Danio rerio: one gene and its partners. The protein of the gene in region 1 interacts with the protein of each later gene in a biochemical or structural test. Links are inferred from orthologs where the notes say so. Each region holds a gene or a part of one and is shown on either strand. Other genes may lie near its edges.

The links.
Region 2: the proteins of ptenb (region 1) and rps9 form a complex in vitro, tested with the Homo sapiens proteins (2 studies listed by BioGRID). The link is inferred for Danio rerio from reciprocal best matches to the Homo sapiens genes PTEN and RPS9.
Region 3: the proteins of ptenb (region 1) and pdgfrb form a complex in vitro, tested with the Homo sapiens proteins (2 studies listed by BioGRID and IntAct, with this or other methods). The link is inferred for Danio rerio from reciprocal best matches to the Homo sapiens genes PTEN and PDGFRB.

What each region holds. Positions count from the first base shown.
Region 1 is NC_133187.1:19,017,896-19,023,026, reverse strand, and holds the start of ptenb (phosphatidylinositol 3,4,5-trisphosphate 3-phosphatase and dual-specificity protein phosphatase PTEN), read left to right. Parts: upstream 1-1,894; 5' UTR 1,895-2,517; coding exon 2,518-2,596; exon of another isoform or gene 2,597-2,664; intron 2,665-3,109; exon of another isoform or gene 3,110-3,409; intron 3,410-5,131. UniProt on the Homo sapiens protein: Dual-specificity protein phosphatase, dephosphorylating tyrosine-, serine- and threonine-phosphorylated proteins.
Region 2 is NC_133191.1:35,113,427-35,118,604, reverse strand, and holds rps9 (small ribosomal subunit protein uS4), read right to left. Parts: upstream 3,499-5,178; 5' UTR 3,468-3,498; intron 2,771-3,467; 5' UTR 2,755-2,770; coding exon 2,658-2,754; intron 2,545-2,657; coding exon 2,422-2,544; intron 2,244-2,421; coding exon 2,057-2,243; exon of another isoform or gene 1,380-2,056; intron 1,175-1,379; coding exon 997-1,174; 3' UTR 907-996; downstream 1-906. Other genes in the region: rap1gapl (rap1 GTPase-activating protein 1), read left to right, coding at 1-57, 246-303. UniProt on the Homo sapiens protein: Component of the small ribosomal subunit. The ribosome is a large ribonucleoprotein complex responsible for the synthesis of proteins in the cell. Part of the small subunit (SSU) processome, first precursor of the small eukaryotic ribosomal subunit.
Region 3 is NC_133189.1:3,757,597-3,762,768, reverse strand, and holds the start of pdgfrb (platelet-derived growth factor receptor beta), read left to right. Parts: upstream 1-1,674; 5' UTR 1,675-1,758; intron 1,759-5,172. UniProt on the Homo sapiens protein: Tyrosine-protein kinase that acts as a cell-surface receptor for homodimeric PDGFB and PDGFD and for heterodimers formed by PDGFA and PDGFB, and plays an essential role in the regulation of embryonic development, cell proliferation, survival, differentiation, chemotaxis and migration.

The DNA.
Region 1 (5,131 bases):
TATTAAATATGTACAGGTTTTGCGTGAGACAAAAGGGTAGTCATTTTTTCAAAGTTGACATTCACACAATTTGGACTTGACTTGTTATACTTGTTCTGAAGTGTTTTGCATAGTCCCTTATAACATAAACCTCAAAATATATTTTACAATAACATTGCTTTTACCATTGACTAGACCATGACAGATCTGTGCTTTACAAGCATCTTTTTCTACCTCAAAATCTGCTGACACTGAACTGTATGTCTTTAAAACATACAAGTTCATAACATTATTATGAATACAAAATTCATTGCATCAATTCGTATGTTTGTTGCACTTTTTAAGAGAGGACAAAACTTAAATATAATCTATACAATATTATGTAGCTAATGTGAAATTTATCATGGATAAAATACAAAAATGATAACAAAATAATAAAACTTGTTTATCTACTGCTAGTACCTACTACATTCAGTTGACACAGTGGATGCAGTTTACATTGTGACTGAACTTCTAGTTGACATTACTTTTAACGAGATATCAAAGTTATAAACACATTTTTTATTTATTTATTAAAAACAAGAAAGTTGATGCATTTAGATCTCCAAAGTAGGACCTGCTGTGCTGGCTAATGTTGGCCCATGGTAACCTTTGATTTGTCTCGCCAACCCATTTGAGAAGAAAGGGAGAATTGAGGAGGGTTCTGAGATTGTCATTTAAAATTAAATGTAACCCTTTGTTTGTTTGTTTATTTGTTTTATTGTTAAAGCCTAACTGAAATTGAATGTTTCAATTAAATGGTGTAAATTACTCAGATTTTGTTTAAATGTGCATACTGTCACCCGGCAATGCAGAGATTTTGGTGAGCAAATCAAATCAAAGGCAAATTGTGCTTGACTTCTGTATTCATATTCATTTAAGTTTTATTGCAATAATGTTTTCTTTTAAAAATGTATACTGCATTAGTTAATACAATTTAATGTAACATTTATTTTGTACACAAAGTAACAATTATTTGGAAATATTATGAAACAAATCACTCATGGCAACTTTAATGTAATGTAGTTTGGTATATTTACCATCGGCCACGGCTCTCAGTGATGTTTGGTTTTAGGCCCTTCTTACGAAAATGTTTAGGCACCACTGGTCTTGTAGCATACGAGCTTTATTCTAGAATATTCTGACAGATGGCGCTCTACAATAAGGATTTGCTGTCTGAAACGCAGCTAGAACTTTCCACCTCCGTTTCGTCCTTGGGGCAAAATCCACATCTGAGCAAACGTAACAGAACACGCCTATAACACAAATACATAATTAAATACAATTAGCATCACAGGTGGGCGCAATTAATTTCTATAATTTAATGTACAGGTATCTGGTAATATGATTGTGCCTCTGTGCAGTAACTTACTTTTCTGCTGGCGTAAGCATTTCAGTAATTTCCTGCAGGGTAGTCGAGGCACTGGTGAGAGGGGTACATAACTTACGTGCATTCTGATATTTTCTCCGTGTTCAGAAGTGGGACTAAAATAAACGTAGGTTGTACCTTTCAGTTATTGTGTGGCAAGCCAATTAGAGTTTGTTTCATAAAAGGAAACGACAATGTTGGAGCGGAACACCTACATAACTGACTTGAAATCTGATATAAAATATTGGAACTTGGCTCATTTCTGTAGACACGTGACCGTGGAACAAAACGTAGTCCGACTGTGTATTAGTGCGCTCGCAGTAACCCTAACATTAGATAGTTGATATATTACTTAATTTAACGCCATGTCAGCTCAACAAGAATGCTTTAAAATAAGTATATTTATATACTAGGATGCAAAAACATATTTGTTGTTGACATAAAATGAAATAGCCGTAGAACTATTTGCCAATGCGGATGAATATGTCGTCCGAACGTCATCTTTTTTCAATGGGAAGCCATGATGGAAGTTTGAGAGTGTAACAGGCAGTGGAGCAGTGGAGGATAAGGACAGAACCGGAGGTGTCTCTTACGCCACATTTAAATATCGAGTTTTTCATTTCTTGGTGGAGGCTGTCACATTTTGTTTCATGTGTTGGAACCTGGTCATCGCGGATTGTCGTAGAGTTTAATGGCTTTTATTTTCTAAGGATGTGTAGACGGGCTAGCGCGTTAGCCGTTGAGGCTAGACGGAGCGCGAGCTGAGTGCGAGCGGGGCTCTGACGACCGATCTTCAAGTGGAAGCACCGGAGAGGATTTTCTCTCCGCCTTTCCGCTCAATCACGGCGGCTTCGGTGCGACCAGAGACTTGTCGTGCACTAGAGATTCTGCAGTTCCAGACGTGGGAAGTTGCTTATCTTTTCACCCAGGGCTCGTCTGAGCCGAGGAGGGCATTTTGGAAGCCGGGCCTGTGGTGGTTTGGAGCGAGGCCCTTGATGAGTGAGCCACAGCAGACTCCATTCTAGCTAGCTGGGGGACTGCGAAACGAGCAGAGCATAAAGACGACCGACCGTCCGAAAGCAACAATACTCTCTCTCACACTAAAAACCCTAAAGACTCCTGTCACAGCCATGGCTGCGATCATAAAGGAATTTGTCAGTAGAAATAAAAGGAGATACCAAGAAGACGGGTTCGACTTGGACTTGACATGTATCCTCTTTGATCAATCAAATGTCCCTGTTCTGTCTATTGTGTTGAAACCAGTGTCGGCAATGAAGGTAACGGCTTGCATCTTGTTCCAAATCAAGAAATCTCTGACGTCCCGTCCGAATATAAAAAGCTATGAGCATTTATTTACATTTTTTGCTTTTCCCTTTTTATAGGAACTATTGACTGAGTCCCCGATTGTACATGATGTGATCTAGATCAGTTGGTTTCTGTTCCTGCATCAGCTCAACGCCGTTTAGATTAATGTCAGTTGTTAATTTATCCACGTTATCGAGCCGTCGTTTCATTTATACGGTTATTTTAGGCTTGTCTGCAAGTTACATGTGACGACTACAATATAAGCAACTCCAGTGAGGTCATAAAATGTCATTTTCCTCATTTTACGTAATCTGATCTATCGATTGACCGCTAATCTGCAATCTAACTCCCAAAATGTTTACATTTCAGATCAAGACAGTTTGGGGGTTAATAACAAAAGACGCGTCGCAGGTTTATATAATGCGATGGATTAGATGAAATGCACAAGCAGTGTCACACAAAGAGCATTGCATCAGCTGCTCGCAGAAAATAGATGCTTGCGCTCAACTTGTAGTTTTGATTGACCAAAAAAAAAAAAAAAAACAAGTCCGTTCACACGCAGGCGAACAAAAGGAAATGCTTTAGTATGTGAAATATGCCTTTTTGTAATCGCAGGAAGGGATTCGTGCAGTGCAGCGCTTTATATTAGAAGCGTCATTGACGTTTGTTCCCCCGTTTGTGCAATATGTCAACGTCATTTGACAATTTCAAGCACAGGTATTGTATGCATATACGTTATTTGGCTTGTGATCGTTGCTTTCAGGCAGTAGCTTTATATCCTGGTTGATGAAGTGTTAAAGCACGAGAGGTCTGGTTTTATTTCAGCAGGTTTCAGTGTTATTGAAGATCCTTTTGATGGAGCTTTACCGCCAAGTCTGATGTTTATCTACAGTCCATTGTCCTTTTATATAACTCTTAGCTGTTCTGTAATATAAACTCGCATATAAGATTAATTTATATATAAGAATAATATTTATATATAAGACATTAACAAAGACTAGAAGGATAGATAGAGGGCAGGATCAATACATTCAAGATGAGCAATAAATTCACTTTTCAATAGCATTAAGAGTATGCCATGCCTTTGCATGTTTTGATAATCGTTCAATTTTTAGCATATGCATACATTGAACAAGGTCTAGTGTATTACATGAGCCATCCTGTAAATGAATTGATCGCATGGACATTGATTTGCCCCAGCCTGCTCAGATGGTGTGTGGGTCACTATATTGACCCATTGCATTGCATCATGCAATGCACTTATTGCGTTTAAAACACACTGTCAGGAATAAATTTTAAGAATGACTTCATTCTTTCAGTCCACTTTTGCTATAATGATAAAGCAATGCTATCTATGGCAAAGATCAGTGAGAATACACACTTTTAACTTTACAATTCTTATCACACATCAGAAAGATCGTTAACTAGACATACACATTTAATCTGTCTAAGATCAGTGAGAATATATACTTTTCACTTTACAATTCTTATCATAGATCAGGAACGAATGCAAACTAGACATACACTATCTTTTTTTTACTTTAAAATATGTAAAGTTAGTCTAGATTACACTAAAATCAGTATAGAGAGTTTCAAGATGAAGAAAACTGGCCTTACTAACACTAGACCGCTATTGTTCTTGCATGTACACAGCGCTGAACCAAAAAGGTTTAAATTCAGCATTCTGTTTGATCCCTTTATATCAATAATTGGTTAATTTAGAGTTGTTTTTATTTTAAATTTAAAGAATGTTTGAGCTTTTATGCTAATATACTTTATAGTGTGCCATGAATTAATTGCAATCTTAAATTTCCCATTGATTCCTGTAAGACTTTAACATCTCATTAAAGATAGCTGAGGTTGTGTAGGTAGTAAGTTGGCAGCTCAACAATATAACATGCAGAACTTTGTATTATGTTAGTGATGTAAAGTGAATGGCTCTCCAACTTTGAGTCTCACACTTTTTTGTTTATAACCATATCTGTTGTGGCTAGTGTAGGGTACAATGGTTGCTTCATTCAGTGCAGTTTTCTTTTTTTTTCAGTGTTATGTGTGGAATGTATGTTAAGAGATACAGACTCTTTCATTTGTTGGCAAGAAAGTTATTCTGATTTAAAGTTTGATAGTATTGTGCATATCTTTGAAAGCTAGATAACTTGGGAATGTGTGTTTTGATATTTGGTCTAGCAATTTATATAGGAACGTTTTTGCGTGTTTGATAAGGCGCTTGAATTTACTAAAGTTCTTTGCGTTTCAGACTTTTTGAATCAAATAATCCTTTTGGCCCCTGAACCATTAACAAATAGCATACGCTGCAAGTCTAAAGATAACATTTATGAATATATGAATTTTATTGTTTTATGAGCTGTTCTTTAACATACTCTGCTTTATGTTTTAAGCATTGTTTCAATTCTTGCATAATTGTAAAAGCACTTTTTT
Region 2 (5,178 bases), on another chromosome or scaffold:
ACCAAAAAAGGCAGCTGCTGTAGCAGGACAGCGAACTAAGGTCAGCAAATACCTAAGGTTATATTAATTATACAAAAAAAAATTCATTTTATGATTGTGCTAATATGATCGTTTTGTTTTTCCTTGTTTAAACACTGGAAAAGGATGGTGAAAGGTAAACATCTTTAAAACAATCATGTATTAATATTAATAAATTGAATACAATTTGAAGTTACATATAATTTCATATTTTACCTCATTCACAGTGATCAGACAAGCAACACTGAGACAAGAGGACAAATCAGTCCCCAGGACGATCTGTAGAAGATGGATGACATTTCTTAAGCCGGAGCACATAAAAAAAGCCTACTGCACACTCCAAGATTATCACCACTTATCATCAGCACAATGAAGATAGATTACAACTAATGTATTAAGTTCCTAGCCGAAAGTGCAATCTAAAAAATTAAGATTTAAATAAAAAATATTTTATCTTAATATATTCTTTGAAGTGAGTTTAGATTTAATGGCTGCTTCAGCCAATGTACCCAAACAAATTTGGGTTTTACCTCTAGATGTTTGCAGTTTTTCTGTATTTAAGTCTGTAATTAAATGCATTTCATTTTGACCAGCAAATGATGACAGTCAAATATGACTACAAAAATAAATGAATTAAAAAATGTTTAACCCACTAGGGATACTAGGTATCAGTTTCTTGAGTTTTGGCTGTCATGTTGTGTTTTATTGCACATTAGGTTGAACTCGAGTTACTCAAGTGGGTTGTCAACATACACTCGAGTTGGTTTGAAACCTTTGAGCATTTGTGCAACTGTTAAATTACATAATTTGTTTAAGGTAAATCGATTGTAAAATGCCATTATTGGTAGTTACTTGAAGTAGATCAGTTTGAAAGCAGCAGGACAAATAAATTGGGAATGAACCATTTTTATTGAAAACTTGAGGGAGAAGAGAGAGCAAGCACTGCTGAGTCCCTCCACCTCTTTAAGAGGAAACAGTTTAATCTTCCTCTTCATCATCACCGCCTCCACCACCACCCTGGGCTTTCTTGGCGTTCTTTCTCTTGACGCGGCCAGGACGGCCACCACCATATGGAGAGCGGAGGGAGAAGTCGATGTGTTTCTGGCTGTCCAGCCTCACCACAAAGGAGGGGATGTTCACAACCTGCTTACGCACCCTACAGAGAGAATAAAAAAAGTTGTAAAAAAAAGGTCCACAGAGAGATTTTAGATGTCAAAAGTAAAGCTGCTGATCTCAAGGCCTCATTGACGAGGAATTCTTGACACCACTGAAAATCTGACAGTTTTTAGCTTAATCACTGGCCAAGAGAAGTGCAGCTTTATTTTAGTAAAAAAATCTGCCAAAGTGCCCACGTACATTACCTCCGACTGTTTCGTGCACTAGAGCACCCCAGACTTCATGGCAAGGTCTAGATTTTTGGCTTACAAGCAAAGGTATACGGTTTAATCACCGAATTGACCTTGCAGAATATTTCATTCCACCTCACTGGGAGGAGTTTAAACGTGGTCAGCTAATGAAAGAGGAAGAAAGCCTCAACACGTGTTGATGACAACCAATATACACATACCAGGAAATGAAAGTTAACCCTCTGGAGCACTTGTCAATAACTAATACTTGTTTTATTCTTTTGAATAAGATTGTACAAATCCTAAAAACCTGTTTTGATATTTTGGCAAAAAAAAAAAAAGTAAAATGTTTAGTAGCTGTTTGGTACTGCACCCTAAGTTTAAATCCATTTCATAGATCTCAAGCTCAAATGTCAACCAACTTTGATCATTATTAAAAACAACTTTAGAAAAACATCTAATAAGACTGAATGTGTTTGATATCAGTTCTTTAACTTGAGCAATCTGCCATAAATATATATATAATTTAAGATTGTTCTTTGCACATGTAGTTAGCAAAAGACAAATAATTTGCTTCTATAAATCTAAAAAGTCGAACTAAAACTTAAGACTAGAGAAAGCAGCACCAGAGGATTAAACATTTCAAAATCCTGTTCTATTTGAGTTTTAAACCTGTGCTTCCTAAATCTTACCGGATGTGCCTCTGACGAATGAGCACACGTGCATGGTGGATACTCTTGGCCAGCCCAAGCTTGAAGACTTGAGTCTGCAACCTCCTCTCCAAGAAATCCTCCACTTTCAGGCCCAGAATGTAATCGAGCTTCATCTTTCCCTCATCCAGCACTCCAATACGCACCAGACGCCTGAGCAGAGCATTACCTTAAAAATAATAATCACAAAATATTGTTATGTTAAACAAGTGTGATAAAGAACCAGTAAGGATGTATTGGCAGATATGGCCTCATTGACGAGGAATTCTTGGCAACACTGACAATCTGACAAGCATTATTTTAATCATTGGCCACCCAGTCTTGAACGACAGTCACAGTTCAGTTACCTTCAAAGAGACGCTTAGGATCCTTCTCATCCAGAGTGAGCAGCTCTCTGGCAGCCTTGCGGATTTTGGCCAGAGTGAACTTCACCCTCCAGACTTCTCTCTTATTCCTGAGACCATACTCACCTGTGGCAGGTAAAATTGTAAGACAATTGTAAGAAACACGTTTTTTTTTGTAAGAAACACGTTTTTGGGGAAAAAAACATTAATAATCATTTTATTTTCAACTTTGCGCTCACCAATGAGTCTTAACTCCTGGTCAAGACGTGACTTCTCAAAAGGACGTCTTGGGGTGACGTACGTCTTACTGCAAACCCAAGTCTTGGCAACCGGCATGGCGACTTATTGACGCCTGAACAAAAAAAGGTAAAGAAAAACTTTGAAGTTGCTAAAAGGTACTCAAATTTGCAAAGGATATACAAACGCCATTGTGCTAAATAATAGGTGTTGCAATGTAAGTGAAACGTCACTTAGACTTATAATTAATTTAGCGTATAATTTATATATGTATAATATATATATATATGTATAATATATATATATATATATATATATATATATATATATATATATATATATATATATATATATAATTAACGTGTGCTTGATTAGAGGTAAATTTTAATTTAAGTTAAAAAGCATTAAAGCTAACGTGGAACGAAAACCCGGTTTAGCTTTGACATCAAACACTGAAAAGCGCTTCCTTCTCAACAGAACATAGTATAATGGCACATTCGTCCTCACGTTATAAATTTTGATTTCTTCATATAAATATATATATTAGCAATCCCGGCGAGTCATTTATATGTAGAGGTAGCACGCGGTTTCACCTCAGGCTAACATTGCTGCTAGGCCTGAACGCGCCTTGTGGAAACACGTTAACTGCAATAAAGCTCTTTTCTCGGCATTATGTACTCAACTAGTTAAGAAATTAATACGTACATCTGTTACCTTACGTAAGGGAACATTAAATATTACTTAATCGTACATATTACGCATGCGTAAAGTAGAAATTTATAGCTGAAAAGGGACATTAAAGCCGCCATTACCTGTCCGTGTCAGGCTCGAACACTAAAGAGAGCGTGCATCCGGCCTTCCCGGAAACTTATACCCACCATTTAAACTACAGAACCCACAAAGCTTTGCGTGTGCATTCGGTAGTGTGTTCAGGGAAAGCTTCATGAGGGATTTGCTTCCCTCTGTTGGTCACTTACAATAAGATGATGTAGAATATATGCGTAGGGTTTAAAACACATATATATTCAGAACTGGGCGAAGGTGAGACAAGTATTTTATTGAATATCTGTGTTTACTATTCAAGTGAATCTGTAAATGTCATATTTACCAGGATAAAATGGCCGAACGAAGTCATATTTACAAGTCAACTTTAGGATTGTTGTCAAGAAGTTTTGACGTTGCTGAATGATTTAGTTACAGTCTGTTGATTTATTTAAGATTTACTAATGTAAAAGTTTATTTGCCATTCTGTAATGCGGTTTGTCTGCCAGGAGGAATGAATTTGTTCAATAATATTAATTTACACTACAGTAGATATTTATGTGTTTCTAACATTACGTTTTTAAAGATCGTAATTTAATTAAATTTAAAATAACTTCATTAATTATATATTGTTTGAGGCTTAAGTGAGTGTTTGGCTTAAACAAGAACAAATATAGGTCAATAAAGTGTATGAAAATTCTTTTTCAGTTCAAATAAAGTTGGTTTATAAAGTTGTCTAGAGACCCACTGGCGTATTTGTTCTTGTTTTAATAATAAACTTGCTTTATTTTGATCAGTTTGACTGAAAACAAGACAGACCTCCAGTTTTACTGATTAAATTAACTTAAAAAATAACTCGCAGTGACATCTTAAAATATGTCAGTGTCATTGATTAATGATGGACACCAGTAATTTGCTCTGTTCTTCTGAGTCATTTTTTAATAAAAGCTGCTTAAAAAATAATTTAACTATAAGGCCTAGTCCTGGTCTAAGCTTAGCCCCAGTGAAACCTGGCCTTGTTGTAATGTGTAATTAACACATTTTCTTTAGAAAAAAAAAAACTAAAATACTGATAAAAATTTCACTTTTTTTACAATTTGATCCTAATTTGAAGTAAAAGATTATCCATTTTATAGTCTTTGAAATCTTAAAGGGCACCTATTTTACCCCTTGTTCAAGTCTTTTGTGTCTCCAGAATGTGTCTGTAAAGTTTCAGCTCAAAACTTATCAGATTATTTATTATACCTTTCAGAACATTGGGATTTTCTGCTCTGAACACAATGCTGTTTTTGTGGCCTGTGTCTTAAATACTGGTTCTCCTCACCCACCGTTCCCACGTGCCTGTCAGAGTGTGCTTCAATCTTCACCTCGGCTGAGTCAGGTAAACAGCACAGTGACAGACAAGAAGGAAGCAGATTTCACGTTACATTTTTGAGAAATACTACAGTAAGAACTTTACCATGATTATTTTTATTATTTGATGTGCTTGTTGTGGAGTTGCAACGATGAGTTATACACAATGTCGTTACCAGGCCCGTGCAGAGACCTTCAAAGGGGCATTTGCAGGATAAAATTTATTTAAAAAGGGCATGTGCACTGCACAGGTTGAGCCCATGTGTGCACGTGCCTGGTGTTACAAAGTTCATGTACGAACGCACACACAGTGCGTTTAGTTTTGCACTGTTTTTGCACACAAATGTGACAGAATACATGTTAATATCCACTGCTGTATGGATATCCATTATGTCAATGTATAAAATA
Region 3 (5,172 bases), on another chromosome or scaffold:
CCTGCAATAAACACAAAAGAAGATATTTTGAAAAATGTTGGAAACCTGTAACTATTGGCTTTCACAGTAATTGGTTTTCCAACTATGGATGTCAATGGTAACCGGTTTTCAGCATTCTTCTACAAAAGGAAGAAAATTATGAAAGTTTATAATCATTTGAGGGTGAGAAAATAATGAGTAAATGTTCATTTTTGTGAACTAACTAGTGAAACTTTACTCATTTCAAATCTTTACTCATTTCAAACCTGCTATTAACAAAAGAGGATAGTTTGAAAAATGTTGCAAACCTGTAACCATTGACTTCCACTGCATTTTGTTTTCCTATAAGTTTCTTCTGCTAAACACAAAAGAAGATATTTTGAAAAAATGTTGCAAACCTGTGACCATTGGCTTCAAAAGTATTTGGTTTTTCTACAGTAGAAGTCAATGGTTACCGGTTATCATCATTGCTAAAAATATCTACTTGCAACACACTAAAGAAAATCAAAAATCCACCTGAGGCTGAGTAAATAGTGAGGTTTTCTTCATTTTGGGGTGACCTATCCTTAAAAGTTTAGTCTGTGATATACTTTCGAGGGTAGGGATGTTGTTTTTACTAGTGAGTGAGTTTTAACATTCTTCAAAATATCTTCTTTTGTGTTCAAAAGAAACTTATAAAGCTTTATAGCCACTCGAGGGTAAGAAAATAATGAGTAAATGTTCATTTTTTGGTGAACTAACTAATGAAAACTTTTACTCATTCCAAACCTGCTATAAACACAAAAGAAGATAGTTTAAAAAATGTTGGAAACCTGTAACTATTAACTTCCATACTATTTTTTTCAACAATGGAAGTCATTTGTTACCGGTTTTCAGCATTCTTCAACAAAAGAGAGAAAATCATAAAAGTTTATAATCATTTGAGGATTAGAAAATAATGAGTAAATGTTTATTTTTGTGAACTAACTAGTGAAACTTTACTCATTTCAAACTTTTACTCATTTCCAACCTGCTATAAACAAAAGAGGATAGTTTGAAAAATGTTGCAAACCTGTAACCATTGACTTCCAAAGCATTTTGTTTTCCTATAAGTTTCTCCTGCTAAACACTAAAGAAGATAGTTTGAAAAATGTTGGAAGCCTGTAACCATTGACTTCCAAAGCATTTTGTTTTCCTATAAGTTTCTTCTGCTCAAAACAAAAGACGATAGTTTGAAAAATGTTGCAAACCTGTAACCATTGACTTCCAAAGCTTTTTTTTCCCTATAAGTTTCTTCTGCTAAACACAAAAGAAGATAGTTTGAAAAATGTTGCAAACCTGTAACCATTGACTTCCATAGTATTTGTTTTTTTCAACTGTAAAAGTCAATGGTTACCGGTTTTTAGCATTCTTCAAAGTATCTTCTTTAGTCTTCAACACAATACAGAAAATCAAATGAGGGAGAGTAAATAGTGAGTAAATTGTTTTGGTGAACTATCCCTTTAAGCTTTAGTCTGTGCTATACCTTTGCAGGCAGGGATGTTGGGTTTACTAGCCAGTGAGTGAACCCTGCTGTGGTCATTTGACTAAACAAACAGATCTGCTGGCCAGCCTCCTCTCCGTCTGGGACCCCGGAGACTGCAGCTTTAGCTCCATCCCTCCCTCTCGCAGCTGTACGAGAGACCACTACTAAACGCCAGAGAATTGGACACTGTTGCTCACACGTACAGAGACGCAGACGAGGAGAGAAGTTAGCAAGAAGAGGCTTTTCCTAGACATGCTTTAAATCCAAACGTCAAGGTAAGAGATGGGACTTTACTCTCCTACAGTTTTTGAACCGAGAGTTTTACTCCATGATGTTTTTAGTTTATTTTCTCAGTGAACGAGTTCCAGGTTTAAACAGTGAAAGCAATGATGTGAAATTTAGAGGAGTTAGATTGAACTTGTCGTAACTCTTTGGGTGTTTGTACAGTGTTCAGCATATTTGAGCTCACCCCTCACACATCTATCTTTTAACTGTATATAGACCATTTTCATGGGTGTAAACAAACACAGTGGTCCCAACGTATTTCCTTTTGTACATTTTTAATTCAGCTTCCGAGAGTCCAAAAAGAGCCACATATTGGTAACTAATGTTATGATAGCTGTTTTAACATTATGTTATGATGGAATTGCCTCTTGTTACAGTTATTAAATGTTCATGGACCAATGACATGACCACATTGAAATGGTCTATAGCAGGGGTGTCCAAAGTTGAGCTTGTCCTGCTGACTTTAGCTCCAACTTGCTTCAACAAACCTGCCTGAAAGTTTCTAGTTGTGCAATAATATTGTGCAATATTGTGCAGAAGAGACTTAATTCTTTCATATCACATTTTACCTGTTTTTATGCTTTGTTTTGTTTTTACGCATTTTTATTATTTGTTTTTATTTTTATTTTACTTGTTTCTTTTATTCTTGTTTATGTAAAGCACTTTGAATTGCCATTGTGTATGAAATGTGCTATATAAATAAACTTGCCTTGCCTTGCCTAGTATACCTAGTAAGAGCTTGGTTAGCTGGTTCGGGTGTGTTTGATTAGGGTTGGAGCTAAACTGTCCAGGACATTGGCCCTTTAGGACTGAGTGTGGACACCCCTGGTCTGTAGGATGCTTTAGAGTAGTACAGTATGTGTGTTTTTTTAAGACACTTCTATACAGCTTAAAGTGACATTTAAAGGCTTAACTAGATTAATAAGGTTAACTAGGGTAATTAGGCAAGTTATTGTATAATGATGGTTTGTTCTGTAGACTATAGGGAAAAATAGCTTAAAGAGGCTAATAATTTTGACCTTAAAATGGTTCATAAAAAATTTTAAACTTCTCTTATTCTAGCCGAAATAAAACAAATAGGACTTTCTCCGGAAGAAAAAATATTATCAGACATACTGTGTAAATTTCCTTGCTCTGTTAAACTTCATTTGGGAAATATTTACAAAAGAAAAAAATTAAAGGGGGCTAATAATTCTGACTTCATCTGTTTATATATAAACTTAGTCCCTTTATTAATCCGGGGTCGCCACAGCAGAGTGAACCGCCAACTTATCCAGCAAGTTTTTACACAGCGGATGCCCTTCCAGCCGCAACCCATCTCTGGGAATATATATACAATGAAAAACTTTATTCAAAGATGACTCTTTGGATTTACTCAAATGTTTTACGTTAAGTGGTTGTAAACAATTTATTTGGGCTGAATTTAAACAAACAAATTTAGTTGAACATTATTAAACTTAATTTGTTTAAATTCAGCACAAATAAATTATTTGCAACAGTTCTGCATGCAACACTTTTTTTGTATAAATACTATACAAACTATACAAGTATCTTATGTAAAACAGAAAAAATATTGTGCAAAAGAGATATTTTAAGGTTGAAAAAGTAAGCAGTTTGACATGACTGTGGTAAATTCACAGGTAAACCTTATTGAGTTCTTGTAAGATAGTTTATGTGGTGATAATGGAGAAAATAGTGTTTCTACAGGTAGTTTGTTTGTTGTGACACTGAGAAATGCACAATGTTTTTTATAGAGATACAGAGTGATTGAATGTACATTTATTGTCTAAATTCACTGAGTAATGGAGGGTATACAATTTTTAATAGGGGTGTATTCATTTTGGCTGTGTAATGTGTGTTTCATCCAGATGTTGGCTCAGATGTTTAGATTTTTTTAAAGAAAGATTTATCCTGTCTTAAAGAATTTGAAGCATTTTTTTGTTCAGCTTTTGTTTGTTTAGCATCGATCTCTTCTGTTTATTTGTGTGTTAAACGTGTTGCATTTGACCGAGAATGTGCCGAGAGCAAACAGATCTGCGCCTTACAGTCAGTTTGAACACCTTTACACACCCTCGTCTTCACTGCAGAGGCTTTACAGATGTGTGTTTTCTTGTGAGGCATTGTAACGTGCTGTTGTGGTGGTTTGTTTGAGCTCTTCTGTTCTCATTGAAACTCTCGCTGCCTTTTCTTTAGTAGTTGTGTTTGTGTCGTAAAACACAACATTTAAAGAATTCCAGAATCTATATAATCTATAAAATCTAAATAACTAACAAACCAGACTGGTAATCTAACTGTACAATCTATACATATACTTTAGATACTTAACTATACACGTAATCTAAGACAAACTGTACAAGCACTTAATGCAAAACAGAATAATATTGTGCAGAAGGGATAGTTTAAGGTTGAAAAAGTAAGCAGTGCGACATGATTTGCGGTAAATTCACATGTAAACCTTATTGAGTGCTTGTAGGATAGAGTTTAAGTGGTGGAATTGGATAAAAGAGTGTTTCCACAGGTGGTTTGTCGAACCCACTCACCAGTGTGAGGGACATTCAGAAATGCGCAATGTTTTTATAGAGATACAGAGTGATTGTATGTACATTTATTGTCTATATTTAATGAGAAATCGATCAAATGTAAACTTTATTAGGGGTGTATTCAGTTTGGCTGTGTACTGTTTATTTCATCCAGATGTTGCCTGCGATGTTTAGATTTTTTTAAACAAAGATTTATCCCATCTTAAAGAATTTGAAGCATTTTTTGTTCAGCTTTTGTTGGTGAAGCATTGATCTCTGCTGTTTATTTGTGTGTTAAACGTGTTGCATTTGATCGAGAATGTGCCGAGAGCAAACAGATCTGCGCCTTACAGTCAGTGTTTGAACACCTTTAACACTCTCGTCAACACTGGAGAGGCTTTACAGATGTGTGTTTTCTTGTGAGGCATTGTAACGTGCTGTTGTGGTGGTTTGTTTGAGCTCTTCTGTTCTCATTGAAACTCTCGCTGCCTTTTCTCTAGTAGTTGTGTTTGTGTCATAAAAACACAACATTTAAAGAATTCCAGAATCTATATAATCCATTAAATCTAAATAACTAACATACCAGACTGGTAATCTAACTATACAAAATATACATATACTTTAGATACTTAACTATACACGTAATCTAAGACAAACTATACAAGCACTTAATGCAAAACAGAATAATATTGTGCAGAAGGGATAGTTTAAGGTTGAAAAAGTAAGCAGTGCGACATGATTTGCGGTAAATTCACATGTAAACCTTATTGAGTGCTTGTAGGATAGAGTTTAAGTGGTGGAATTGGATAAAAGAGTGTTTCCACAGGTGGTTTGTCGAACCCACTCACCAGTGTGAGGGACATTCAGAAATGCGCAATGTTTTTA